Mus musculus: one gene and its partners. The protein of the gene in region 2 binds, or shares a complex with, the protein of the main gene of each other region. Links are inferred from orthologs where the notes say so. Each region holds a gene or a part of one and is shown on either strand. Other genes may lie near its edges. The genes, in order: Sf3b2, Cwc27, Snip1, Snrnp40, Crnkl1, Snrpd3 and Plrg1.

Region 1 (3,500 bases), on a different chromosome or scaffold from region 2:
TGCTGTTTATAAACCAGCATGAGGGAACTGGGAACTGAACGTGGGCACTCTGCAGGAGTAGAAGTGCTCCAAACAGCTGAGCTCTCTCTCCAGCCTTTCTTTGGGTTTTGGGAGGTAGAGTCGTGTTGCTCAAACTCAGGATCCTTCTGCAACATCCTGACCACTAGGGTTACAGGTTACAGATGTGCACAGTCATAGCTGACACAAGTAATCATTTTTTTTGTTTTTGTTTTGTTTTGGGAGACAGAGCCTCACTACGTGTAGCTCAGGCTGTCTTAGAACTTGCTTTGTAAACCAAGTTGGACCCAACCTCACAGAGATCAGCTCCTTAAGGTATGTACCACCAAGCTCAGCAAGTAACTTTTTATAGATCCGATGGGTTTTTTGTCTTCATGGATGTATGTGCACCGGTCAGAAGAGGCCATGCATCCCCAGGAAGAAGCAGAGTTAGAGGTGACTATGACCGCTCAGGTAGGCGCAGGGAACAGACCTGGGACCTCTGCAAGAGCAGCAAATGTCTTAACCACTGAGCAATCTCTCCAGCCTCAGTAACACACACACACACACACACACACACGTCTCTTGGTACAGAGAAACTTTGTTTCAGGACCCCACCCAAATACTGGAATCAGGATACTTAAGGCCTTCATAAAAAACAGGATTTACACAGACTCTATAAGTACTTTTGTATTTAAAGCCATCTGGAATGCCCACTACAATGCAAAGCTATGTGAATAATTCTGCTGAGGCTTAGGGGATGACAAGAAAGTCTGTTAATGTTGTAAATAGGTATTTTTTAATTATATGTATGTGTATGTGGGAGAATATGCAGGAGTGCAGTGCCTACAAGCCCAAAGAGGACGTAAGATCTCCTGGAGTTGCATGCAGCTGCAAGCCACCCGATGTGGATGCTGAACTTGGGTACTCTGCAAGAGCTACTTACAAATCTCTCCAGCCCAAATACAACATACTTGTTTTACTTTCCACTTAGTTATATGAAATGTGCTTAGCTATAGATCCACAATCTACTGAGGGCTCATTGTATTTACAAGTTTCTGAAGTGCTGAGAATATAGCCAAATGCCCCAGCTCAGGCTCAGTGTGTTCAGAGCTTTAAGTTCAAACCCAGTAGAAGAAATTTTTGTTTTAAGACTTTTAATAACTTACTATTTTTAGTTTGTTTTTTGTTTTTGTTTTCCACGCAGAGTTTCTCTATGTAGCCCTGGCTGTCCTGGAACTGGCTCTGTAGACCAGGCTGGCCTCCAACTAAAGAGATCTCCTTGCCTCTGCTTCCCAAGTGCTGGGATTAAAGACATATGCCACCACTGCCCAGCCAAGTTTATTATGTTATGTGTAGGGATTCTGCTACACATGTCAGTCATGTCCTCTGGAAGAGCAGCCAGGGCACTAAACCACCTTTCCAGCTCTGATTGTTTTCTTTTTTTAAAATTATAATATGTGTCTATGTCTGTGGGTATACATGAGAGGCCTTCGAAGCCAGAACATAGTGCTGGATTTTCTCTGGCTGCAGTTACACTGTGAGCCATCTAATATGGGTACTGGGAACCAAACGTGTGTCTTCTTGGAGAGCAGTTAAGTGTTCCTAACTACTGAGCCATCTCTCTAGGCTCTGGGTCTTTTCAAAACATTTTTTCAAGACAAGGTTTCTCTATGTAATAGCCCTGGCTGTCCTGGAACTTGCTTTGTAGGCCAGGCTGGTCTTGAACTCACAGAGATCCTTCTGCCTCCCAAGTTCTGGGACTAAAGGTGTTCATCACCTTGCCCAGCTTGCTTTTAGTCTTTCTAAGATAGGTTTTCAAGCCAGGAGATGGTGGTGTGTGCCTTTAATTCGAGAACTCAGCAGGCAGAGGCAGGTAGATTACTGAGTTCAAGGGCAGCCTGGCCACAGAGTAAGTTCCAGAACAGCCAGGGCTACAGAGAAACCCTGTCTTGAAAAACAAAAACAGGGCTCGAGAGATGGCTCAGCGGTTAAGAGCACTGACTGTTCTTCCAGAGGTCCTGAGTTCAAATTCCAGCAACCACATAATGGCTTACAACCATCTGTAATGAGATCTGATGCCCTCTTCTGCTGTGTCTGAAGACAGCTAAAGTATACTCACATAAATCAATCTTTAAAAAAAGAAAAAACAGAAAAAACAAAAGCAAACAACAATTAAGAAAAGGTTTAAGTGGCCCAGACATCTTTGAATTTACTATAAATTCTAGGACCACCTTTTCCCTTCTGCCGCTGCTTTGGCAGCAGAATTACAGGCACGTGCCACCACACAGAGATAAAGGAAACGTTTTAAGAACAACTTCTTTGCTCTGCCCTTCCACTCCAGGGTCTTACCGCGAGGCCCCAGAGGAGTACGGACACCCAGCTGCCCCATATCCTGAGGCGGCCGAGGGACTGCAGTGCCCATCTTGGCGATCTCCTGCTGCCGTTCCTGCTCCATTAACACAGCTGCCTACAAGAAAGAAGTGCGGACTCAGCTTGGAAAAGAATTTGGCGCATAGCCCTGACAAATGGGTTCCTTCGAAGGAGAATAACAGGGACACTGAGGTGGTCATCTTCCCCACACCTGTTTGCATGTTAACTAGAAACTTATCATGATGGAAAGTTCCTAAAAACAAATATGAAAAAGCCTAGGAAGTTTCTGGTTTCTGGAAGAGATTTCTACTTTTCAATGAGTTTTAATACACAAAAATGAAACCATTAGAAAGAACCATGAGACATTTTCTTAGAGCTTCCTCTATGTTTCCAGCACTTCCTCTATGTTTCCAGCACTTCCTCTGTTTCCAGCACTTCCTCTATGTTTCCAGCACTTCCTCTATGTTTCCAGCACTTCCTCTATGTTTCCATGTTGTGTTTGATGTTCCCTTTCCTTTCCTTTCCTTTCCTTTCCTTTCCTTTCCCCTTTCCCTTTCCCTTTCCTTTCCCTTTCCCTTTTCCCCTTTTCTCCCTTTTTTTCCCTTTTTCCCTTTTTTCCCCTTTTTTCCCTTTTTTTCCCCTTTCCCCTTTCCTTTCTTTTGGTTGTGTCAGACAGGGTTTCTCTGTGTAGTCCTGGCTGTCCTAGAACTTGCTCTGTAGAACAGGCTGGCCTTGAAATTACAGAGATCTGCCTGCCTCTGCCTCCCAAGTGCTGGGATGAAAGGCGTGCGCCACCACCAGCCAGCGGCTAATGCTTACTTTCTAATATTCTTGAGTCACCCACTGGGTAAAGCTGATGCGGGGAAGGACACCCCTACAGCATTCCTCAATCTGTACCATCATAGTTTAAATTCAACTCAAATGGTATGCCAGCATTCTCCACAAGCCACCTAAATAACACACATAAAACTAGCCGCAAAGGGCTGGAGAGATGGCTCAGCAGGTAAGAGCACTGACTGCTCTTCCAGAGGTCCTGAGTTCAATTCCCAGCAACCACATGGTGGCTCATGGCTATCCTTAATGGGATCTGATGCCCTCTTCTTCACATAAAATAAATGAACACATCTTTA
Region 2 (4,233 bases):
TTAGGCTTAAAATGGTTGTAAAACCTCAGTAGAGCATAAACAATGGCTTTATAATCTTAATGACAAATATTTCAAGACAGAACAAATATTTAATACAAAGCTCATTTTACCAATAATAAATGGAAACATGTATTCCCAACAACCTTCCTAACTTCGACTTGACAGATTTCTCACGCTTTCTATGCTTCAATGCTACCATTTTTTTTTTCTTACATTGTTTTTTGTTGTTGTTGTTGTTGTTTGTTTTGGTTTGGTTTTTTGATTTTTTGGTTGGTATTTTTGTTTGTTTGTTTGTTTGTTTGTTTTTTTTGAAACAGGGTCTCAATGGGGCTTTGTAGACCAGCCTGACCTTGAACACACAGAGATCCATCTTCCTCTGCCTTGGAGTACTGGTATTAAAGGAGTGTATGGCCACACCTACCAAGTTGTTACATTTGTTTGTTTTCAAAACAGGGTTTCTTTGTATAATCCTGGCTGCCCTGGAACTTGCTTTGTAGACCAGGGTGGCCCTGTACTCAGAGATCTACCTGTCTCTGCCTGCCAGATGCTGTGATTAAGATAAGCACCACTACTCCTGGCCAAGTTTCTACATTATTACTGCTATCTTTAAAATGACATTTGTGAAAGCAGGCTTAGTTAATCTAGGTACCATGTAACTAACAATTAAAACTTAGATCATAACATTAAAAAATTACCGACAAGTACCTGGACTTTGTGTGATTTCTTTTTTCTTTCATTCTTTTTTAAAATGTGAGTTCTGTAACATGTGTCTTTAATCCCAGTGCTCTATGGTGAGCCAAGGAGACAAGAGGTTCTCCAGAAGCTCACAAGCCAGCGAGGCTGGCACAGGCAGCATCACACAACAAAAAGACGCTGCCTTTAATTAAGCTGAGAGAAGATAAGGGCCATCAACTAAAGTTATTCTCTGAACCTTCGAATGTGTGCAGTGGGACCAGCATGGAACAAGACACAGACACAAACAGACATAGACACACATACACACACACACACACACACACACACACACACAAAGTTTTAAAAATACTTGTTGTATGAATGAGCTCCTGTTCAGAAGTGCTTTTACTCTGTGGATATATCAAATCATTTCCTACAGTAAACAACTGTTTCCAGCACAGCTAAGGACTCATATGAAACCCTGTTTTAGTTCTTAAAAAAGAAGTCATTAGAGTCAAACAACTAAATGTGCCCATGAGGAATAACAGTTTAACTCCACCCTCACCTATGCTTAATACCTCTCAGAAGCTAAAGAAACAGCATTAAGTCATGTGCCTAGCTATTCTTTCGTAGTGTACGAACTCTACGTAAAGCAATGTTCTAGGCCAGTGGTTCTCAACCTTCCTAATCCTGTGACCCTGTAATACAGTTCCTCATGTTGTATTTACCCTCAACCGTAAAACTATTTCCAGCTATTTTATAACTGTAATCTTGCTGTTATGAATCCTAATATAAATATCTAATATGCGGGGTATCTGATATTCGACCCCTGTAAATGGGTTATTCAACCCAAGGGGTCATGAGCCACAGGTTGAGAACCACTGCTCTAGATGCTCATCTTCAACTCTATAGTGTTTGCATTCTATATAGGAAAGAAACCAAGGTAAGATACTGTTAAATACTGGGTAATTGCTGAGACCCAGGGCATCACTGAGATCTGCTATTTGATAGGCTTCTTTGTTACATTTGAACAGGTAAAATAGCAAACTAGAGAAATGAAGCGTGAAGGTTCTGCATTGTGGAATGGTCAGTCTATTTCATCTCTACACGCATTTATTCATTAAAATTAATATTGTCCTCTAGAAATATATAGCTCAGCATGAAATCTATCAGGGAATCTACTCCCATTCCTATGAAATAACATTCCTCACTCCTCCCCTGCTTCTAACTGACAATTATCTCAAAAGATATCTCCTCCAAGATGTTTTCCCCATCATTTCCTGTTTTCCCTCCATCACTGTCATGGCAATATAATCTCTTCTTCAATACCTCCCAAGCAAAGGCAGGTGTGTTCATGCACGTCTGTAATCCTGAGATAGGGAATTAGTATATATATACGTGTGTGTGTGTGTGTGTGTGTGTGTGTGTGTGTGTGTGTCTATAATACAGACACACATATAAAGGTAGAATACCAACCTTTGTATCATCAGCACCTAGTAGAGTGCGTGGTGCCAAAGAGGCCTTCAATAATGACTGTAGAGAATGCACGATCTCCAAGTTAAACAACAAGCAAAAGTGTACAATCTTGAGATAAGTCTTAAAAACAATAGACACTAGAAGGCGCTCACGTGAGTTGGATCAAGGAAGTTAAGGGGTCAGAAGACTAGCGAATAGGGAGGTTGCCCAAGAACTCTTTCAAAAATATGCTGAGACACGTCACCGTAAAGAATATAAATGCAACACTGGCCATATGCAGGGTGTGGAGAAGAGTCCTTTGGTCTTTCCACCTCTAAAATCCCCGATAGCTGCCCCTCCCTGCCCGCCCCCAGTCACCGTGTCCAGGAGGTAAGGCTCTCACCTTCCCATTAGTGGGCGGCTCCTGGATGTAGATGTTACTCATCTTGCTCAGTGCTCAGGACTCCGCTCCTTAGTGTGGCCGCAAGCGAATGGCGGGTCTCCGGCGAGGCCCACCTGTTAGCACACAATTCTTTAACCTGAGTATTTGGGGGAAAACTTCACTCGGTCAGAGTCGGACAAGACAGCCGTACTAATCACTAGTTACTCCCCAAACTAGCCCATCATGGACGCCGCCATGTTGCTCCCGGACCGGAGCACCGCTAACCCCGGGAGGGGGGACTTCCCTGTCCTTCAGGAAACTAGAAAAGACTATAGGACCTCTACAACTTTAGAGAATTTGTAGCGAGGTTTATAATACGAGCTAAAGGGCCAATCCGTAAATCCCGGGGCTGCGTCCAGGTCAGGCGATTGCAGATAGCACTCACCTCCCGAAGCGGGCCGAAATGGTTCCGACCGCGTGTGCTCCGCGGTAGGACACCCCTGGAAACTGCATCCACAGCCACTTAGTTCCGCCAACCCTAGATGTGCATCGGGCCTTCCCCTGCCCGGTGAAGTTGTAGTGGCCGGGTGGGAGAGATCCCTTTGGGAATGCGCTGTCCTCGCAACGGACCTGAACCTAACGTGATCTCGAAAGCCCAGGACTCCGACGATCCCACTCACCTTGCATCATGGCAGTCCCAGGTGAAGGTCAACCGCAGGGCTCTCTCACTCCAGAGGAATGAGACGAGCAGGGAAGCCCAGAGCACGGGGGTGGGTGGCAGCGAGCACTTGGGGAATCAGGCGAAGGCCTAAAAATTTAGATTTGGTCGGCTTACATGAAAAAGCTTATACTACAAGTTCAAAGCGGGGTGAGAAAGATAGGGAAAGATCATCTCTGTCATTCTTGGACAAGCCCAAACTGCACAGGATTAGAGGGAAAGTGTATTGTAAGAGGGACAAGGGACTTGGTGACAATGAGAACTGTAGGCCTAAGGGGACAACTTGCCCAGAAGACTGTAACTTTCACACGATTTCAAAATAAAATTCGAAATGTGAGCATTTTGCCGAATCCAGGTGGCTATACACATTATACTGAAAGTCGCCAAGAAGAGCACCTGAGGCTTGTTCTAGCACTTCCAGCCTGTAATTTCTATGTGGCTGCAGGCCCGCTGCTGTGCCCTTCCGGGCCTCAGTTTCCCTATCAGTTTCAAGACAGTGCTTTCTCGAATTAGATCTAAGATTCTTTGTAGGTTCCACTTTTGTGTTCAGAGGTTTCTAACCTAGAAACGGCAAACTGAGCTCCGGGGATGTTTTTGTTGCTCCAGTTTACTGGGGAGCCGCTAAGAACTTCCCCAAGCCGACTTTGTCAGAATGTGTTTCTGTAAAACCCTATTATCAAGCAGGTGTTTTTAAGAGATATACCCGCCTCGCATCTCGGAGATTCACAGTGCATAGTACTGTAGGAAAGACCCTCAAACTATTTGTGAAGCCCCAACTTTGCTTAACACTGCCCCTTCCCGCTACTGTTTGACCCCTGTCTTTGTTCCGTGGCAGCCTTTTCTGAACTTTATTCTAGAGATTACTGTTGCGGGGTGGGGCTGCTTCCTAACTTCTGCAGAGGAGCACTCCAGGAGCTGTGAAAAGAGAGGTGACTACATTTATTGAGTGTGTGGCAGTCAGCATGGTAGAAACCCTTGCTCTCCTAGAATTCGGGGGGGGGGG
Region 3 (4,152 bases), on a different chromosome or scaffold from region 2:
CCACAACACCTGCCTCTTTCGAGATGTTACTAAGGAATCTAGAAGGTAACTCTACAGTTAGAGCACTTTCTGTTCTTCCAGAGGAGCTGGGTCAGTTGCTAGAACCCATGAGGTGGCTTGCAGCCAGCCTTAACTCAAGTTCTGGAGACTCTGGTACTCTTTTCTGGACCCTGTGGGCACCAGACATACACAGTGCATACACATACATGCAGGGGCGGGGAAAGCACTCATACACATGCAAAAAAATACTATTTTTAAAAGATTTTTATCACACACACACACACTCTCGAACATTTACATAGAGATGGAGACGAAAGAACCAGAACAGCTAAAAGGAAAAAAAGAAAAAGAGGAGGGTGGTGTGGAGAGATGGCGCAACAGACAAGAGCATTGGCTACTTTTTCCAGAGGACCTGGGTTCAATTCCTAGCACCCACATGGCAGCTCATATGCAGCAAAGAGGACATTCAGTTTGAGACTTACTATGCAAGTGCAGTAATCGAGTCTGCATGGATAGACATATACCTGACTGAGTTTCAATGTGGGAGTAAAATAATTCAATGGAGACAACCAATGTCCTTTGAAAAACTGGTCCTAGCCGGGCGTGGTGGCACACGCCTTTAATCCCAGCACTCGGGAGCAGAGGCAGGCGGATTTCTGAGTTCGAGACCAGCCTGGTCTACAAAGTAAGTTCCAGGACAGCCAGGGCTACACAGAGAAACCCTGTCTCAAAAAAAAAAAAAAAAAAAAGAAAGAAAAAGAAAAACTGGTCCTACAGCACATGGGCACTCACAGACCCAACGTGACCCATCTGTGCTGGTTTCAACAGCACCAAGGACAATCTTCTAACCTAAAGACCCTGGGCTTAAGTGTGCATCCAGAACAATAGAAAGAGAGAAGCGGCCAGCCAGGAGGTAAGGAAGGATAAAGGCGGAGAAGTATCAGACATCATGAGGCACCTTGATGGTGGTGAAACGTCTGTGTCCTGACCACGACACTGTCCAGCTGTGCGAGAAGTTGCCATTGAGAGAAACATGGATATGTACATCTCTCCGTATTATTTCTGACAAGAGTTATCAGAATCAAATCAACAATTGTCTCCAAACGTTAAAATTTCAGGAAAAACAGCCCCAAATACATATCCCATTTTTAGAAAAGCCCACTGCAGTGACAAGGAAGCATGTCCACACCTGGCTGCCAACCTCTTGGGGTTCAGCAACAGCTCTGGGCTGGAGCTTTCCACCCATGGTCCCTGCCCACTCACTCACTCACTCACTCACCTGCTTCACTTTGACCATGGGGTAGTGGGGACTCTGGCTTCTCTTGGTCCGTGGTGACTTGCTTCTTCTCCCAGAGGACTTGCTTTTCTTCTTGGCTGGGGACCTTTACAGAGAATGGTACACAGGATTTTTTACCTCAAAGTTCCTTCCCGAAAGTAAGTTAGCTTCCAGGATCAGGCTCACCTACTAAACACAACACATCTGTGAGATCAGTAGCCACAGCAGGCCTTCACTTCCCATAAACACTTCTCCCAACCACATACACAATGGCCTGCTAAGCCTTCTCACCTAGACAACCTTATTCTCCAACCCCAACGCCTCAGAAACCTTTCTTCTCCGGATGCGCCATCCTACTATCTGGCACTACTATCCAGGAAGCCAATCTAGCCTGGTTTTTTCCCTAACACAACTCCCTTCTCCAACAACCAAAACCAATCCCTTGGCAGGTCTCAGGGCCCTGCCCTGTCCTCCATCCCACATCCTTCCTACCAGCCTACAATGCTGCTCCATCTCTCAATTCCAGATATGCTGGCTGTTTTGTTTTTGTTTTTGTTGCTGCTGTTGTTCAACTTCTAAAACAAACAGAATTCCAGCTCAGGTTCTATGTATATATTTTTCTGTCATAATCGTGCACGCGCCGTGTTTGTGTGTATACACTCAGAAACCTCCTGTCTCAGCATCCCCTCTGCTGGGTTACAAGCATGCCCGACCACAGTGGGTTGGTCCTTCCTGGAGTCTTTGCTAAAAGACTCTTGACTCAAGAGAATGGATCAATCCTACCAGCCAGGTCTCCGTTAAGGAGCACCTCTGTACAAGCCCTCTCTTTTTTCTACCCAGCCTCTCGCTACCACACTGCCGTTTTGATCTGTCTTTAATACTGACTGAAATTATCTATTTGTTGTTTTCCTTCTTCGAGTTAGAGCCTGCCCAACTTCGCCAAGGAAAAAGCATCTCTCTTCTTTGCCTTGTGACCCAGTACCTCCAATTGATCTTTAACCCACACTACGCACTCAATAAATCGATGCCACATGGAGGCATTGGCGAATGAGTGCTGCGAAGAAGTCGCCAAGACCCAACGTGTCTTTGTAGGCAGACGAGGGGAGAAGCCACTCGCACCATCCACTCGCGGGCAGGCGGGGGAAATCTCATTTCAACTCAACAGGTGCTCTGCACTCCAGAGCCGCTCGCACCACCGGCCCCCGCGCCATCCCGTCCTCCGCCCAATCACCGGCTCGCTTACCGGGCTCGGCTCCCGCGGTGACCCGAGTGGCCAGGCTCGGCGGCGGGCGGGGACAGGCTAGCGGCTGGAGCGTCGGGCCGGCGGTGCGCGACGGGTTCGGGGCTCAGACGCTCCTGTTTCACCACCACGGTCGTCAGAGCGTCGCCTGACCGGTGTCGCCGCCGGCCGCTCCGCTCCCGCTCGCTTTTCCCCGCCTTCATCCTGCGGCCCGACCGAGAGTCACTTGCACGGTCCGTTGAGCCACTTGAGCCGTAGGAAGTGACGGACAGCTTTGCACTTCCGCTTCCGGGCAGCGCGCTATCCCAGAAGCCTTCACGGTGTCGGCCCCCCTGATGGGCGGGGCCCCAGGTGTTTGAGTCTCAGACGCTGGGGACGCCGGCGCGAGTGGCCACGGGGTCCCCGCTGCTGGGAGGTGTGGCTGGAGTACTGAAAAGGCAGGGCCAACCCCCCGGGAGGCTGAAGCAGGAGGATCGCAGTAATTTCGAGGCCAACCTGGGCAATTTAGTGAAACTGTCTCAAAATCTGAAAAAGTTGTAGCTCGGATAGATCGCAAAGCTCTGAATTCATCCTCAGCACCGCCAAATAGAAATCAAGAGTTAAAAGGGGAGGGAAGGCTGAGATTGTAGCTTAGTTACCGAGCGAGCGTTTGCCTCGCGAGTACGAAGCCCTGGATTAGTCCCCAGAACCTCAAAAAAATATATATGACAATCTCCCCCCCCCCCCGTCATAGTCAGGTTTTCAGTGTACCCTGGCTGTTCTAGAAGTCACTCTATAACCAGGCTGACCTTGAACTCTGCCTCCCTCTGACTCCCAAATGCTGTCATTAAGGTGTGTGGTACCATCGCCCAGCTTTTTTTTTTTTTTTTTTTTTTTTTTTTTGAAAAAAGAAAAAAACCTGTGGGAAAGCTAACCCAGCTCTGTTCCTTGCGCGTTATTAGTAGTTACGAAACACAGACACTCAACAATGTGAAACTCTTTTTTGTTTCTTGAAATAGTGTCTCTATATAGCCTTGGCTGTCCTGGAATCCACAAAGATCTGCCAGCCTCTGGCTTCCAAATGCCAATCGTCGCCAAATACTCTATAGAGTCACTAGATGACTTCCGTTTTAATCAAAGGTGGTCTGTCCATTTCATCATAAACCGAAACAGACCTAACGCTAGGGGTCCAGTCTTCTTTACTAAGAAACTTAGTGCTTGCGGAGAAAGCACAGTAGAACAAAACTTGCACGCGGCCGGCACCGCCTTCCTCAGAGGCCCCGCCCCATCCATGGGGCAAGGAGAGGAGGGGTTTCCATGGTGATCGCAAACAAGACTCCACAGGGGCCGCTACGGAGTTGTTACCCCTACTGCCACCATGATACCCCCAGCAGACTCTCTGCTCAAATATGACACCCCGGTGTTGGTGAGCCGGAATACAGAGAAACGGAGCCCCACGGTATGAACAGGCGTCTCAGGGGACGCGAGATCCTACAAACTCCCATGGGGAAAAGACATCCCAGCTTTGAGGATCTCTGGAATTTCAGGGGACAGATTGCTGGGGCTGACAGCCAAGGGAATTGGGACAGGGATGGAGGTTGGGAGAAGAGAACAAGAAGCCTAGCTATGACCTTAGAGGACAAATTTAAGATGAGAA
Region 4 (3,500 bases), on a different chromosome or scaffold from region 2:
ATTTTTGGGCGGTGGGGAGTGAGGCAAGATGTTCAATGTAAATTTGACTTTAAGGTCTGCCTGGATCTTAAAAAACCCAATGTCAAAGAAATAATTCCCAAATGATTTCTCAGATATGACAGATTAGTCATATCCATCAAAGTTTAAATATGGCAACCAATTTTTTTTAGCTAAAAAAAGGTTCTGGGCTGGAGAGATGGCTTAGGGGTTAAAAGCAATGACTGTTCTTCTAGAGGTCCTGAGTTCAATTCCCAGCAACCACATGATGGCTCAAAACTATCTGCAATGGGATCCGATGCCTTGTTCTGGTGTGTCTGAAGACAGCTACAGTATACTCATATACATAAAATAAATAAATCTTGGGGAAAAAAAAAGTTAAAAAACAAAAACAAAAATAAAGGCCTGGGGCTACAGAGCCAGCCTGGTGCTTAAGAAGACTCGTTGGGCGGGACGTGGTTGAGCACGCCTTTAATCCCAGCACTTGGGAGCAGAGGCAAGGCTCAAACTCAAGCAATCACGTTTGATGACCGGTAGCTTAACTAGCTGAGCAGCAGCACCACTTCCCAACACACACCATTAATGTTAAAGGCCCCAGAAGAGCTGTTGTCCAAAGTTACCTGTGTTGTCCATTGCATTGGACAGGAGATAAGAGCCTTCAGAACTCAAGCTCAGGCCAGTTACAGAGTCTGCATGGCCTCTCATGGTGTAGGTTAACTTGTTTTGGCGTAGGTCCCAGACCTGTAAAAAATGCAAAACTTCATTCAGGATTCAAACTGAAAAACAGCAGAGAAAGGCCAGGTATGGTGGCAGACACCTTTGGTGGCTCGGAGGGTCAGGATGTTTGCTGCTCTTGTGTAGGATCTGGGTTTGGTTTCCACCAATGACATAGCGGGTCACTGTCTGTAATTATCATTCCAAGGGGGATCCAGTGGCCTCTTCTGGTACTTGACGCTCGCGCGCGCACACACACGCACACACACAGAGGCAAAACATTCATATACATCATTTAAAATTTAAAAATCTAAGAAATGAGAAAAAACCTACATAAAATCAGATGGCAGGCTTAGTGATTTATGTCTCATTCCAGCACTCAGGAAACAGATGAAGGAGGACTTTGAAGTCAGTTTGAACACCACAGAGTTCCAGACTAACTTGGCCATGAGACCATTTCACCCCCACTCCAAGTCAAGAGCATCCCTTGTGGGGAGAGGCAGAAGGATCAAAAAAAAAAAAAAAGATACTCTGAACTATATAATGCACTTTTGTTTTAAAACAAAATTAAAAAAACCTCATACTAATAAAAGTGCGCAAGGCTGGCACAGTGGCGTATTCAGGAGCATCCCCTGGGAAACAGGCAGAACTGCGGCGAGCTCCAGGCCAACCAGGGACACCCAGGAAAACTGACAATGAGACAAAATGAACACAATGCCCAAAATTATTATATAATGTAAACAAGAAACTGGAAAACACTGTGTAAGATTTTCCATCTTATGTCACATATATGAATATAGAAGCGGTGCATACACATGTGTATATGCACACATACATGTAGAAAAGAAAAGAAAAAGCATATTTATGCAAAGAACCCTTCTGGGCTTCCTCTGCAGACAGACACAGAATATGTTAGGTGCCTGTCCTTTGCTGTTTGTTATAGCTGAGGTTCAAGTCCAGGGTTCTGTGCACCACCAGTGAATCACATCTCAGCCTCAACAGCATCTACATCTTCTGTACATGTCTGTCTGTCTTTTATATGTTTTGTGGTGCTAGAGATTGAACCTAGGGGCTCAGGCAGACTAGGCAAGTGCTCTTCCATTCTAAAGATTATAAATAAGAATGCCTGTAATATGCCTGGGACATGGCAGGCTCTAAATATTATTGAGCATTTCCTAAAAATAACTCTAAAGCCAAAATATAAAAATATTTACATAATAGACGATTAAGCAAATATGTAAAAAATAAACATTAACACTAACAAAAATAGCCTGGATGTCACAAGAAAAAAGATGAGCAATTTTGTGAAGGTCATTGGTATTACAAAAAACTTCATTTAATACTGCCATATAATTTTTCTAAATGAATAAAATAACCGACATCCCCTAAATGAAGGCAGTTACTTTTTTTCAGAAAGGAGTTGGGTAATGCATGTATGATGTAAGAAATCTGAATAGTGGGGCTGGAGGGTGCAGCGGTTAAAAGCAGGCACTGTTCCACAGCACCCCAATGCATTTCCCAGGATATACAATGGGGGGCTAGAAGCCACAAGATAACTTAGCTCCAAGGGATCAGACACCCTCTTCTGCCTCCGGAGGATGTATATACACATGCACGCACACACAAACCCACTGAGAGTGTTTAAATGTATGCCTGTAACACTAGCACTCAGAAGGCGCGGGTAGGAAGATGCAAGTGTCAGAACCTACCTCCCAGACAAACAAAACAAGTTGGGTGTGGTGGTGCACACCTTTAATCTCAGGATCAAGAAGCAGAGGCCAAGAACTATCTAGGAGTTCAAGGCCAGTCAGAGGTACAGATTTACTGTGAACCCCAAGCCAGAAGACTTAGCTTAGAAAGATAAGACTGCATGGCTATGAGAATCAGGATGCTTTCCAGAAACACAGGAAGGATACTCTAGAATACAGAGCTAAATTTAAAGGCAATATTCTTGGACTATATTTGTACATTCCTCATATTTGAGATAAGTTCAAATTTCAAAGCAAAACTGGCATATATCAACATTCAATGGCTAGGACTTACTCTCTGCAAAGAACCTGCCCTACAAGAAGGTGTAACGTGCTGTCTTCCGAGATGATAGGAAACTCCTACACAAGGACCTGACAGACCTCAGACCTATACTAAACAAGGTTCATAGACCAGCAGCAGCAGCAGTTATGTTTGTACTCAGAAGACGTCATTAACACGAGATGGTTCTGCCTGCCTGCCTGTCCTTGTGGTGTAGATAGGAGAATCAAATTCTTGTAGCTTAACTAAAAAGAAGCCAGTCACCGCAAAGGTACACACTCATACACTCCGTATATGGGAAGGAAGTACAGGACAGACACAATGGCTGATAGACGTTAGGATGGGACATGGCACAATGTAAACTTTTTGGGGGTGGAAACTGTCCTACACTCTGGTTATCTGTAGTTTATTTATTTTTATTTTATATCCAATAGTTTTACCTACACGCATGTCTGTGTGAGGGAGTCGGATCCCCTGGAATGGGAGTTATAGACAGTCGAGAGCTACCATGTGGGTGCTGAGAAGTCAACCTGGGTCCTCTGGAAGGACAGCCAGTGCTGGTCACTGAGCCATCTCGGGTTACTTACCAGTTTTTTTGTTTTCTTTTGGAGATAAGGTCTTATTATGTTGTCCAGGCTGCTCTCAAGCTTGTGATCCTCTTGCCCTAGCCTCCCTAGGCTAGCACTATAGACTACAGATGTGAGCCACTATCTACATAAGCATTAACATCTCTTAAACCGTGTGTATAGCACTCTGCCTGC
Region 5 (4,294 bases), on a different chromosome or scaffold from region 2:
GCCAACAGGAAGTGACGGCCACCCACAATTTTTATCTTGACAACAGATTTCAGGAGAACATTTCTATTTTTGAAACAATTATTTTGAAACAATATTAAATTAACACAGGAAACAGATAAAACACTGTTCTTTAGTGACAGGAGTACGAGAGCAGCAAGACTCATATGTAGACCCTCCCGAGACACTCCACAACCGTCCTTCCCAGTACCCACTGCCTCAGAGGGCTCCATGGAAGAGAAGCTGGAAATTACTAGCACAGTACAGGTCCATGCTTTACCTTCCTAGATTTCATGTGCTCATTTACTCACTCTTTGTAGACAGACACTATAGTCATGGCAATTTTACCTTTGAATTTCCTTTAGACTTTCCTCCCATTGTGCGTATTTTATCCAGTTGCTAATCACAGTCCTATTTTTTCTTATGTTATCTTCAAAAGTCTGAAAGGCAAAGGGGGGCGGGGAGCAGTACAGTAAAGAGAAAACGACTTTGCTTTTCCTTATGATATACACTTCTCGTTTTACTCTTCCTAAAAGAAATTATATCCTAGATGCCAAGGAACAGCAGCTTTCCTCCAGAAGGGTATCAGTGACAGGTGTTTCTCTAAAGTTTATGGAGACAAGAAAAATGTAGGGGTAGCTATTGCAAGATTTTGCTGTTCTCTGTAATAATTAACGAGTACTTTAATATATTCTACTCTCATTCCTTTTAAGAACAAGAATGTTAAAACACCTTTCAAGATTACCTTCAAGTGCTCAGTAATTTATAGAACTTCCCATATAACTTCCATAATATTCGTGGATTAAATAATTCCCAATATTCGCCTGAGGTCCCATCACATAGGCTCTCTGGGAGCTCGTTCCCACTGTGGGCAGCAACTGGGACAGGTTGCACAGTGCATTCTGACGGACTCACCTTCCTTTTCCGGAGTTTGTAATCGTTTAATTCTTCCTCATCTGTGATCTTCTGCTGAGGTGGAGGTGGGAGGAGCTCGAGTTCTCTCTCTTTAGCTTCTCGGAGGAGCTGCTCGGCCGTTATCTGCACTTCGGCCGGCGCCTTGTTCTTCACCTTTTAAGACAAAGAGACATTCCTATTTTGGGTAGTGCTCTCCACACGAGATTTTAAAACCCTTGTATATTTTCCAGGACATAAACTTCCTAAGAATGGCAGGGTGGTGGCACACACCTTTAATCCCAGCACTTGGGAGGCAGAACCAGGTGGATTTCTGAGTTCAAGGCCAGGCTGGTCTACAGAGTGAGTTCCAGGACAGCCAGGGCTACACAGAGAAACCCTGTCTCGAAAGAAAAAGCCCTCCTAAGAATGTGCCCAAGATGCCATCTTTGAATAACATCTTCAATTCTCCATGAGGGGCAGGGGGAAAAAAAAATCACACTCCTTCCTCTTTATAACCTGCTTAGAGAACTCCTCTACATATTTTAATCCTTCTAGTGGACAAGCTGGTTTTCCATGACATTTTAGGCCAACTGAAACTTGTTTTTACTAAGTCTCCATCATTAGCCTGTAAGCTTTTAGAGCACCTGAAGCTATAGTTCCAACACAGGAGCTTAAAAGTCAAATGTGTTCAAGTGCAGATGGACCCTAAGTTCTAATTGGCCTTTTTACTGCTGTGATCGAACATCACCAACAAAAGCAACCTGCAGAGGAAAGAGCTGACTGATTGGCTTACACAACTGGACCACAGTCTTCATGAATGGAAGACACGGCAGGAAGCTGGAGGCATACCAGCTGTGCTCAGTCTGCTCTCACAGACTACACCAGAGCCCCTGCCCAGGTGTGGCACTGCCCAAGTAGGCGGGGGGGGGGGGGGCGTCCACATCAATTGGTAATCAAGAAAATGCCTCACACACTTGCCAGCAAGCAAGCTTAGGGACGAATTTTCTTAGTCCAGATGCCTCCTCCTAGATAACTTTATCTTGTGTCAAGCTGTCAAAAACTTAGTCAGCATGCATTCCCTGGCTTTTATGACTCAGGATAGGGGTTTGGGAGCGGGGGTAGGGGGGAAGCTACCACATCAGACTTTTACAATAATTACATGTGGAAATAAGAACTTGTCTCAAGACAAAATGGCCAAATCAGACTTCCAGAGAATGACTGTATGTGATGGCTAAGTGCAAGATTTGACACTTATTAAGTATTGATGAAGTATCAACCACAGTTGGAAATATAACAATTTACTATCTAACCTAAATTTTATGCCATTGCCCAGAGCCTATCCTCTGCCATTCTCTTCACTGCCTAACTTTGATGCAGCCTAAGTGTTAACTTCCTTCACAAAGTTTACCCTCAAGTTTACAGGCACCCTTCTGGCTCTTGCCCATGGCATATCTACACTACTTGGATACATCTATCTGGGTTGCCATTTCGCTCTCTCTCCAGTTTTAGTGGAGCACTCTTGCCCGGAGTAAAAGTAGGGGATCCCCAGAGACTAGCAAAGCAAACAGTTTACCGAACCGAACCGATGCTTTGCAACCCTGGAAGGAAGGCTGGGCAGACGCGAGACGAGCTCGGAGTGACAAGACCCTGCGCCACCTCACCGACCACCTGTCTTCTTGGACCGCGGCACAGAGATCGCTGTCTCGAATCTCTGGTGCCCGACACCGCAGATGCTGTTCGGGGGCTCCTCCCGGTCGCCTACCTTGGCCACTTTAGGAATGCGCTGTTTCCCGGCCGCCGTGGAGGCTGCCATGACTGCAGCCGTGGAACTCGAGCGATCCTGGCCGACAACCGGACTTGAGAAAAGCACTTCGAACCGGCCGGCACAACAGAGTCAGCCACAACAAACTAGATACCGGAACCGGAACCGGAACTTGCGAAGACGACCTTTGACCGCCTCACCAGTCAGGGGAAACGCCGCGTCGTTTCCTTAGCAACTGTGTGCGCGTCCTCTGTGGAGACTTGCGGCTTGCTGGAGCTGCGGGTGAGGTGGGTAGGGCGGGCTGCGCCGCAGGGATATAGGGCTCTGGCGGCGAGGGCTCATCCAGGTCTATCTCCGGGATGCGTGCAGCTGTAGGCCGTGGCACCTTTGAGGGGCGTAGAAATCCATTTCAGGTGTAGAAACTCCGGGGAGAAGGGAAAAGCACCGAGGAAACCCTGCAAGCAGCCTGGGCAGCGGTGCATTCTGGGATTTGTAGTCTTTCGAGTTCCCGCCCCCTCGCCTTAGGCTTCCCCGCGATTGGACCAAGTTAATAATCTTGAAATGTGGATTTTTTTAAAAAAAAAATCAGAAGAGGTATTTTTGAAACAAGATGTTAGAGAAAGGTGGAAATTAGTCAGTAGCAAAGCACCTACAGAAACTGATCAAATTTTTAGTCTGTAAATTTTTTTTTTTTTTTTTTTTTTTTTATTTTCCGAGACAGGGTTTCTCTGTATAGCCCTGGCTGTCCTGGAACTCACTCTGTAGACCAGGCTGGCCTCGAACTCAGAAATCCGCCTGCCTCTGCCTCCCAAGTGCTGGGATTAAAGGCGTGCGCCACCACGCCCGGCATGTAAATTTGTATTATCTCAATTCTCTTATCCTTAATATCCTTAGCTATAAAAGGATAAAAGTATCTATTTCCTTAAGATTAAAGAAAAAAATCTGTCTCTGTAAAATACTCGCTAGATGTTAGTACGTATAATATCTGAAGTACATTAAAAACAGTGATTTAGCATATAGTTAAGATAATTTTTTAAAATAAAAATTTTGGAATTGACAGCAAAATTGGGAAGGTGAGCTTTTCCTACTCTTTCCCCACCCTCAAAGGACTTTCTACGATCCATCCCCACCCCGTGTCAGTTACAAGAAACTGTTAGAGTTTACTTTTGTAACAGTCTTGAGATTTAGGACAACGGCAAGATTTTTTGTTTTGTTTTGGAGACAGGGTTTCTCGGTGTAGTCCTGATTCCCTGGTTGTCCGGGAACTCACTCTGTAGACCAGGCTGGCCTGGAACTGTCAACATCCTCAGGGTACCTCCTGTTCATCCTCCCCCTCGAGCCTTTGTCCATCAATACTCCTTTTTATCAAGCATTTTGTTTGTTTGTTTTTTAATTCCTTCTTTGAAAGTTTTGCGTCTTAATCATAGCCATTCCTCCAGCTTTCCCCAGATCTACCCCACTCCCTATTCACCCAACTGTGTGTCTTTTTGTTTTTTAACCTTTGAAGACTAATTCGTATTGCCCAGATATTCTTGGATATGTGGTCTACTGGAGCTTGGTCAACTTACCAGAATGTTATACTCTTAGAGAAAACTCATGCTTTCCAGCAGCTAAAAAATGACCAATTTCTCCACTGCCAGG
Region 6 (4,152 bases), on a different chromosome or scaffold from region 2:
ACAAAAAGCGCTGAGAAAAAGATGTTCCCTTTGCTGGGTGCTCCCAGGCCATTCTTTTCCCCCTCTTTCCCGCCCCTTTGCTGAGAGCTCTCAAGCCATTCTTTCCCCCTCTTTCTCGGCCTCAGGCTTTCCACAGTTCCCCGGGGAATAGGATCACCCAACGTGCTTCAAGCAGGGCTATTCGATTCTGGACAAGGTTGTGCCTTTTTGCCCCTTGGACTTTTCCACTTGACGGCTCTCAGCACTCCCTGGGCTTCAAGCCCCAGGAGACTCAGGAACGACCCTAAGTGGAGGACAGGAGATGAGAAGGAATATCCACCTAGCTAGGACCCACTAGAAGCTCCAGGCTGGGCTGAGGCCGCAGACGACCCAAGGTCGCGCGCGGCCAGACCCTGCCCGGCTCTAGGGCGGAGTCCCCCTCCGTTCCCCCGGTTGAAGGCAAGGCCCTGAAGAGAGGCACTGACCGGGCTCGAGCGGCTGCCCCGCTGCCTCTGCCTCCGTCCTCATGACCCGGATGGCGCAGGGCGCCCATGGCCCCGGCCTGGAGCTGATTGCAGCGGCGACTTCTGCTGGGCAGCGAGCGCGGCCAGTGAGCGCAGAGTTCCTCCTCCTCCGCCTCCGCCGCCGCCGCCGCCACCGCGGTTCAGAGCCGGGTAGGCGGTGGCTAGGCCGCCTCAAGCCACGCCTAATCCCTTCCAGGTCTGGGCGCTGGAAACCCGCCCCTTCCATAAGCCACGCCTCTTCCCTTCCACCCCCACTTCTCCTTCCAGAACCCGCTACCCGTAGGTCCTTCCCTGAAACGCTCCGGGGGCCCCTCCCCCTCCCCGAGCCCCGCCCCTCCCCGAGCCCCGCCCCCAAAGCCCTTCCCCTAGCGACGTGGGCTCCCCACGCTCTCCCTCCGCTAGGTCTGTTCTTCTGCAGCCTCAGATGGAAGCTCTGGTTCTCCGCAGTGCCTTATCGAGACTCCAGGGAACACTTTCCCGACTCCTTTTAGGTCTTCTTACCCAGACAAGGAATAATGAGAGTTCCCAGGGCTCAGTGCGTCCCTTACCTGCCGGTGGCCGGATCCAAAGCTTAAATCTCTAGTCCAAGCCTCACTTCCTGTCTCCCCAGAGCACTGGGCTCAAGCCCAGATCCCGCCCAATCCGCCACTACAGTACTCAGGGTTACCATGTTCCCTTGTTGGGCTCCAGGATTGGTGTTTCCGGCGGTCCCCCGGGCCCTCTCCGGTGCCGGAACTATTGTGCTAGAGCCCTGGTTTCCCCAGCCGGCTAAGTGAGAGTGAAGGGCAAGTAGGCTTAAAGGAAAGGGAGGGGCCTGCGCAAGGCATTCTGGGAGCGCGTGGTATTCGTGAGAGTCGGGCCGGTCGTTCTCTCGCCTTCGCCTTCTAACGTTTGTGCCAGAACCGGAAAAAAAATAAAGCCTGCAGTTAATTGGTGAGGAGAGGCGGCTAACGGGAGAGAGGAGGCCAGGGCTTCCCCAGGGGGTTTAGGAGCTGGAAGGGCCGCTGCGGAGGAGCTCAGCGGGGCTTGCTTAGCGGAGGGCGGGAAGCCAGGGCCTATCCAAAGCTCATCTCCCGAACCCTTGAACAGTTATTAATTTACGCCTAGTCTGCACGTTCGGTGCCTTCTCAGGTCACCGATTTCCGAAGCTTACGGGCAGTCATTTCTTGCTAATTACCTCCTTTCCTTTTGGATCATCATTTACAACGTCCCTTTCATCCCTGCCTCCACTCCCATTCCTGCAGTGGCCCTCTTTTCCACGCTGCTGCAGAAGTTTAATCAAGTTGCCGTGCTATATGTTCGATCCACTTTGTAGATGCTACTCTTTTTTTTTTGAACCTTTGGCTATCATCCTGCAGTGTTTCCCTACCATTTTCAGCATGGAAACCCACACTCCTAAAGTTGAAAGCCGTGGTTCCTCACCGAGAGAGAGAGACTGTGTTTAGCATCCTTACAGTCTTCTCATGCAAATAAATGGTGTGCTCCGGTTTTGAGTCGTTTCCAATCTCAGCATTTTAAAAGCCCTGTGCATAGTCTTTGTCTTGTAGTGAGACTTAAAGTCGAGCGTTTACCCTATTTCTCTGCTTGATGAACATTTCCTATTTATAGCACCGTAGCCTTGACAGTTTTGGTCTGCTTTTTGGTGGGGATTCAAAACGCTGGATTGAAAAGCGCAAGCTCTTTTTCCTAGCTTCCTTGGGGCTCAGGTCTATATGTACTATTAGGTTCTGTAGCCTTTATCCAAATGTGGTGGCTGACTACTTGGGATATTTCTGGTGTGACTGAAAGACTGAGTTTGCTTTTATTTGCATTTTATTTAACTCCATGTAAACAGTGATTTGTTTACACTCCGGGTCTATATCATAGCCCTTTTAGTGACTATAAAGGGTCATATGGCTGGGATGAGAATGGGGGTAGTACTCTTTGTTCCCATTACTTTTCATTGTCCAGCTTACCATCCTTCCCTACCCTACGTGTTGCGCTAATTTGCTGTGGTGGTTCCTTGAGGCCAAGAGCCACACTCCTTCCACAGGAAACGCAGCTCTTGACATCATTTACAAAGCCCATGGCGTGCCAGTCCTTAAGCTCTGAAAGATGACCATCGTCTCTCTTTCCCTGTAGCCCGGGAAGAGTCCTGCCAAGATGTCTATTGGTGTGCCGATTAAAGTCTTGCACGAGGCTGAAGGCCACATAGTGACGTGTGAGACCAACACCGGGGAAGTATACCGAGGGAAGCTCATTGAAGCAGAGGACAACATGAACTGTCAGGTATCCTGCTTGGCACCAGGGCTGGGAAAGGGCTGTGGCTTCTATCCTGTGGGTAGAGCGGTGTACTTGGAGGTCTTAATGAAGTTATTCTCATCAAACAGTTATTAACTAAGTACTTATTACCTGTCAAGCACTCTTACAGGCTCTAAGATTTTATGTCAGTATAGACTTAGCCTTGAGGCAGAAAAGTCATTTGACAGCCTGTGGTTGTACGTGTGTATCCGAGCACTTGAGAGGCTGAGGTAGATTCTCGAGTTCAAGGCCAGTCTGGGCTTTATAGCAAGACCACACTGCTTTTGGTAGGGAGTCAGAATGCTGAATTGAAAGCACAATCTCTTTTCCTAGATTTCTCTGGGGTTAGGTCTATATTTACTGTCAGGTAGCCTTTAGCCAAATACAGTTGCTAAGTACTTGTCTATAAAACAACCAGTTAAGTTTCACTTTTCTGTCTCAGAGTCGGTCAGGTTCAGAGCCAGTGTCTGCTTCCCAGCACAGTGTATAATTTGCAGGATCTTCTACTCACGTATTGTGTGTGCTTACTTTTGTCTTGGAGAAAGTTTCATCTGATAAAACTGCCAAAGTTTTGGCATATGGTTTGGGGGTTTTCCCCATTAATTAAGAACTTGAGCTTTGGAATCAGAGAATTCCCTGATTCCAAATTGAGTTGGGCCATAATGATAGGACCTTGGGTATCCTGGTCACTTGTTCTCCCCTGAATAAAATGAGGATGGAGTTGTTTTGGATCCTCTGTGCTGTAAATGCCAACCCAGAATTAGATACACCAGAGACTTTGGGGAGGTGGCGTGAAGGACGCCAGTGACCGAGCAGGATTGCGGAAGTGATTGGTTACTTTGCTTGTTGCTGTGATCAAATTCCTGACCAAAGCAACTTAAGGAAGGGGGAGTTTATTTCGACTCACAGTGTGATGAGACAGTCTGATGCAGAAGAAGTCATGGTGGCAAGAACTTGAGGAGGGTACTAACTAGTCACATTGAATCTGCAGTCAGGAAGCAGAGATGAGTGCCAGGACTTAGCCCAGTTTCTACTTTTCACCTCCACCTAACCTAGACAATCCCTCGCAGACACGCCTGTCCCTTCAGTAATTCTAAATCCATCAAGTCGGTAATATTAATCATCGTAGCAGGAGGGTCTTCAGTCCAGGAAAGGAAGGCAGAGTGAGCAAAAGGAGCCTCAGGCTACAACATGGTGCTGAGGAAGTTTCACCCAAGTAAGAGGAGTAACTGGAGCCAGTAATGGACTGGCTCTGATGTTTCTGCTGTGGTCAGTCCCTGGCAGCCTGCTGGAAGGGCTGTCGCAGCGTGAATGCCCTGGCAGGTCCCCCAGAGTGGCAGCTGGAGGGTGCCAACCTGTTGTCTCCTGA
Region 7 (3,500 bases), on a different chromosome or scaffold from region 2:
TCAGGGATCTGACAACTTCTTCTGGCCTTCATCGGCACCAGACACACATGTTGTACACAAATGTACATGCAGGCAAAACACACCTATACATGTAAAATAAAAACCAAAACTAAAACAAACAAACAAACAAAAAAAACCCAGTCAAAATAGTGTTAGGAACAACAATCCTCAACATGCCTGAATTCTTTATATTTACCGTTTACTTCTAAAACTATAAACTGTTTATTTCAGAAATAAAACACAGGTGAGGGACATGGGAGCAGTTTATTGTAAAATACAAAGCAGCAATGTTTTCTGCAAGTGAGCTTTCATGAAAGACCGGATATCCTCATCAACACCAAGCACGAACAGGACAGCCATGAAGACACTAAAATCGCTTTCTCTTGATAATTTCTGGTTTCCAGCTGACTGGGTGAGTTTCTTCTGTCTAAAATCAGAACAGTAAACAAAGTGTGATTTTATTAGTTTGTTTCCTTTCAATGAAAAGATCTGTCTCTGCTAAATCATAGTACTTGCTTGGCAGGACGTGCTGAGTGGCTCTTGAAAAATTTTAGAAACAGCTGACAAACTTCTGGCATTATCCAAGTTTGACCAGGGATACATGGGTTCGGTTGGATTTCCATTTAGCTATTACAGCAACCCCAGCGCTCTACCTCTACCCTCCTTCCCTCAGCAGTCTCCTGTTTGCCACGATTAATGTATCATTTCCTTCCCAGGAACTGTACTGAGGCAGAACTGTACTTAAAACGTAATGCTTTATCACTGATGTGTCTGCATCAATGAAACCACACAGAAGCCCTGAGCAGGTCAGATCACTATCCAGAGGATGAAACTGATGGTACTATAGTGAGTCTGTTTCTTTTTGTACTCAAATGAGCAGTCCTTGTCAAATTGACATGCAATTCTTTTACTTTAAAATGCATGTGAAAGCTGGGTGTGCTGGCTCATGCCCAAAATCCCAGCATCGGAGAAGCAGAGGCAGGAAGACAGTTTCAAGTTTAAAATCAACTTGAGCTACAAAGTGAGTTCCAGGCCAGCCAGAGGTACCATGTGATACCTTGTCTCTAAATATAAAATATAAAATTAAATTAAACTAAAAAGGAAGGAAGATAGGAAGACAGACAGACAGACAGAGATGGACACTAAGAACTTACCGCAGTCTCATCCTCTCTGTAAACTTTAATGGTTTTATCAGCTTCAGCCGTTAGTAACCGACTTTCTGACCGATCGAAAGCACAAGCAAATATTCCTGACTCACTGTCCAAAGACCCAGGCTGTACAGCTGCATGGACGCGCTGAAAATTATAGCCAGTTCTCCAGTCCCAAAGGTGCATGGTGCCATTGTCAGCTGCAAGGGAAACACACAGCTCTACTTCTATCCCCTCAACAGCTCAGATGACCCAGGAGCTGAACATTACACCAGCAACACACACACACACACACACACACACACACACACACACACACACTCACACACACACACTATCTCTTTCCCTCCCTCCCTCCCTCTCTCTCTAATTCCCTCTAAGTCTCTAATTTATAGACACCATAACATTTAAAATCCAACCAAACATCAGGCAGTTCCTAGCGTAAATCCCTACCTTCATCACATGGGAATGCAAAGATGTCTAAACTATGCAACATGCTGCATGGAACACCACTGAGCACGACGGCAGGCACATTACAAACAGGCACATACACCCTAGTAGGTGTGTCACTACAACAGTGTGATGCTTTAGATACTAACTCACTCACATCAACAGAAGGGCACACTCAACACACCATAGAAACCTTGTGTTACCTCCAGACACAAGCACTCCATCAGCATTGACCGCCAGCGTGTTAATGATTGCATTGTGACCAGAGAGATTTTGAATGAAGCCTCCATCGGGGAATTTCCACTGCTTTATGTTATCTGGAGAACCAGACGCAAATGTGTAACTAGAACAAAGATTGACAGGAATTAATGGGAAAGTACACTGTATCAAAGAAAACTCGCAGCTTTGAAAAAGCTCTGTGTGCTCACTGCTCCAGACAGCCTCAGTAAAATGTAACTTCACCACAGTACAAACTCATCACTATCCTCGCTCCAAGTTCCACCAGCCTTGTCCAGCTGCTGAGATGTACTACTTTAGATCCCAGAGCAGTGTTTTGTTTTCTTTAGTGTGTTACACACTAATTAGCCCAACAAATGTGCACACACACAGGGCAAAAAAAATCTTGAAAGGGAAGGAAAGAGAGGGATGACAAGAGAAAAGGAAGGAAAGGAAGGGAAGGGGACAAGAAAGGGAAGGCGCAGGGAGCAGTGGGGGAGGGTTGGGGGATGTGTGTGGGATGAGCTGAGTCAGGAGTGGCCTGCCTTCTCTGGGAACCGCAGTGCTGATGTCTCTCCCTCCATTTCCTGCACACTTACTTCTCCCTTAGGAATCTAACTCTGCTCTGTCTCTGACAGGACACCATATGTGAAACAATCTGGACAGGTCAAAGTGGGTCCAGTACCCTGTATGTCCAGACACGACTCCCGCCTACTCTGACATTCAGCTTTAACCACAACTTGGCCTTATTTGTCACTCTGTAGAGGGGCTATGGCCTTCATTCCACAGAGCACGAGGCAACAGCAGCAGATGGGAACTGAAAGGCCGTCCTAAGCAGCACAGGCAGAGGTACAGCAGGCCCCCCTGGCCTCAGCGTCACTGAGACGCGGAGAAAGGCAAGCTATCAGCACAGCACACTTACAGTAGCGGATGTAAGACCACAGCCCTCACTGATTTCTTATGGTTCGTCAGTGTCACTCGTGTCTTTCCAGCCACTAGATCCCATAATCGTATTGTGGTATCGTGACTTCCTGTAGTGAAAAGACAGAGACCGGACAGAATCCACAAGTTAAAACCCATTAAACACAATGTACTTGTCTGTGTGTGTGTGTATGTGTGTGTGTGTGTGTGTGTACACTAAATGAAAGTCCTATCACTGTGAATCATTTCCTCAAAATCCTAAAACTGTAGTTATTCTATATTTAGTTCTTTTTAACTTTTTGCCAGAGGCGGTAGAGAGTGGCTAAGTATAAAGAGCAAATAAAAACAAATATGTAATTTTAAACTCCAATGGCAGGGAAGGGGAAAAAATGAATCTTTTTATTTTAAAATCTGTAGTTAGCAAAACAAACCAACTGAAAGAATGACTTTCCAGTCACAGTTAAGATCCAATGTCATTCAAGTAAGATTCATACTAGAATGATAGGTTACAATGCCTAACCTTTTTATGTAATGATACATAAAAAACACAAGATAAAAATATAAACAAACAAACAAAAAACCCTAGAAAACACCTTGCAATCCTAAATTTCAAATGCCCATGATTAAAATCCAAAGAGAAACTAGAACGCGAGTCGGTCGGAGGTGGAGGTGCTTGCGGCGGCTGCAGAATGGCCGGCCGTGCCTCTGGTACGGCTCAGGGGGAGCAGCAGATCGTACCTGTAATGATCTGTGGCTCTGCAGCCT

The links.
Region 1: Cwc27 (region 2) and Sf3b2 share a complex: the UniProt entries of both Homo sapiens proteins name them as parts of the minor spliceosome. The link is inferred for Mus musculus from reciprocal best matches to the Homo sapiens genes CWC27 and SF3B2.
Region 3: Cwc27 (region 2) and Snip1 share a complex: the UniProt entries of both Homo sapiens proteins name them as parts of the minor spliceosome. The link is inferred for Mus musculus from reciprocal best matches to the Homo sapiens genes CWC27 and SNIP1.
Region 4: Cwc27 (region 2) and Snrnp40 share a complex: the UniProt entries of both Homo sapiens proteins name them as parts of the minor spliceosome. The link is inferred for Mus musculus from reciprocal best matches to the Homo sapiens genes CWC27 and SNRNP40.
Region 5: Cwc27 (region 2) and Crnkl1 share a complex: the UniProt entries of both Homo sapiens proteins name them as parts of the minor spliceosome. The link is inferred for Mus musculus from reciprocal best matches to the Homo sapiens genes CWC27 and CRNKL1.
Region 6: Cwc27 (region 2) and Snrpd3 share a complex: the UniProt entries of both Homo sapiens proteins name them as parts of the minor spliceosome. The link is inferred for Mus musculus from reciprocal best matches to the Homo sapiens genes CWC27 and SNRPD3.
Region 7: Cwc27 (region 2) and Plrg1 share a complex: the UniProt entries of both Homo sapiens proteins name them as parts of the minor spliceosome. The link is inferred for Mus musculus from reciprocal best matches to the Homo sapiens genes CWC27 and PLRG1.

What each region holds. Positions count from the first base shown.
Region 1 is NC_000085.6:5,288,956-5,292,455, forward strand, and holds part of Sf3b2 (splicing factor 3B subunit 2), read right to left. Parts: intron 2,468-3,500; coding exon 2,350-2,467; intron 1-2,349. UniProt on the Homo sapiens protein: Component of the 17S U2 SnRNP complex of the spliceosome, a large ribonucleoprotein complex that removes introns from transcribed pre-mRNAs.
Region 2 is NC_000079.6:104,814,154-104,818,386, forward strand, and holds the start of Cwc27 (spliceosome-associated protein CWC27 homolog), read right to left. Parts: upstream 2,801-4,233; 5' UTR 2,576-2,800; coding exon 2,534-2,575; intron 1-2,533. Other genes in the region: protein SREK1IP1, read left to right, coding at 3,201-3,213. UniProt on the Homo sapiens protein: As part of the spliceosome, plays a role in pre-mRNA splicing. Probable inactive PPIase with no peptidyl-prolyl cis-trans isomerase activity. As a component of the minor spliceosome, involved in the splicing of U12-type introns in pre-mRNAs.
Region 3 is NC_000070.6:125,065,320-125,069,471, reverse strand, and holds the start of Snip1 (smad nuclear-interacting protein 1), read right to left. Parts: upstream 2,801-4,152; 5' UTR 2,720-2,800; coding exon 2,520-2,719; intron 1,466-2,519; exon of another isoform or gene 1,383-1,465; coding exon 1,280-1,382; intron 1-1,279. Other genes in the region: Dnali1 (axonemal dynein light intermediate polypeptide 1), read left to right, coding at 3,874-3,954. UniProt on the Homo sapiens protein: Required for pre-mRNA splicing as component of the spliceosome. As a component of the minor spliceosome, involved in the splicing of U12-type introns in pre-mRNAs. Down-regulates NF-kappa-B signaling by competing with RELA for CREBBP/EP300 binding.
Region 4 is NC_000070.6:130,380,632-130,384,131, reverse strand, and holds part of Snrnp40 (U5 small nuclear ribonucleoprotein 40 kDa protein), read right to left. Parts: intron 739-3,500; coding exon 618-738; intron 1-617. UniProt on the Homo sapiens protein: Required for pre-mRNA splicing as component of the activated spliceosome. Component of the U5 small nuclear ribonucleoprotein (snRNP) complex and the U4/U6-U5 tri-snRNP complex, building blocks of the spliceosome.
Region 5 is NC_000068.7:145,931,901-145,936,194, forward strand, and holds the start of Crnkl1 (crooked neck-like protein 1), read right to left. Parts: upstream 2,801-4,294; 5' UTR 2,705-2,800; coding exon 2,654-2,704; intron 1,066-2,653; coding exon 913-1,065; intron 438-912; coding exon 346-437; intron 1-345. UniProt on the Homo sapiens protein: Involved in pre-mRNA splicing process. As a component of the minor spliceosome, involved in the splicing of U12-type introns in pre-mRNAs.
Region 6 is NC_000076.6:75,516,690-75,520,841, forward strand, and holds the start of Snrpd3 (small nuclear ribonucleoprotein Sm D3), read left to right. Parts: upstream 1-1,352; 5' UTR 1,353-1,436; intron 1,437-2,624; 5' UTR 2,625-2,645; coding exon 2,646-2,771; intron 2,772-4,152. Other genes in the region: protein GUCD1, read right to left, coding at 465-507. UniProt on the Homo sapiens protein: Plays a role in pre-mRNA splicing as a core component of the spliceosomal U1, U2, U4 and U5 small nuclear ribonucleoproteins (snRNPs), the building blocks of the spliceosome.
Region 7 is NC_000069.6:83,069,038-83,072,537, reverse strand, and holds the end of Plrg1 (pleiotropic regulator 1), read right to left. Parts: coding exon 3,474-3,500; intron 2,846-3,473; coding exon 2,737-2,845; intron 1,942-2,736; coding exon 1,802-1,941; intron 1,349-1,801; coding exon 1,155-1,348; intron 428-1,154; coding exon 368-427; 3' UTR 247-367; downstream 1-246. UniProt on the Homo sapiens protein: Involved in pre-mRNA splicing as component of the spliceosome. Component of the PRP19-CDC5L complex that forms an integral part of the spliceosome and is required for activating pre-mRNA splicing.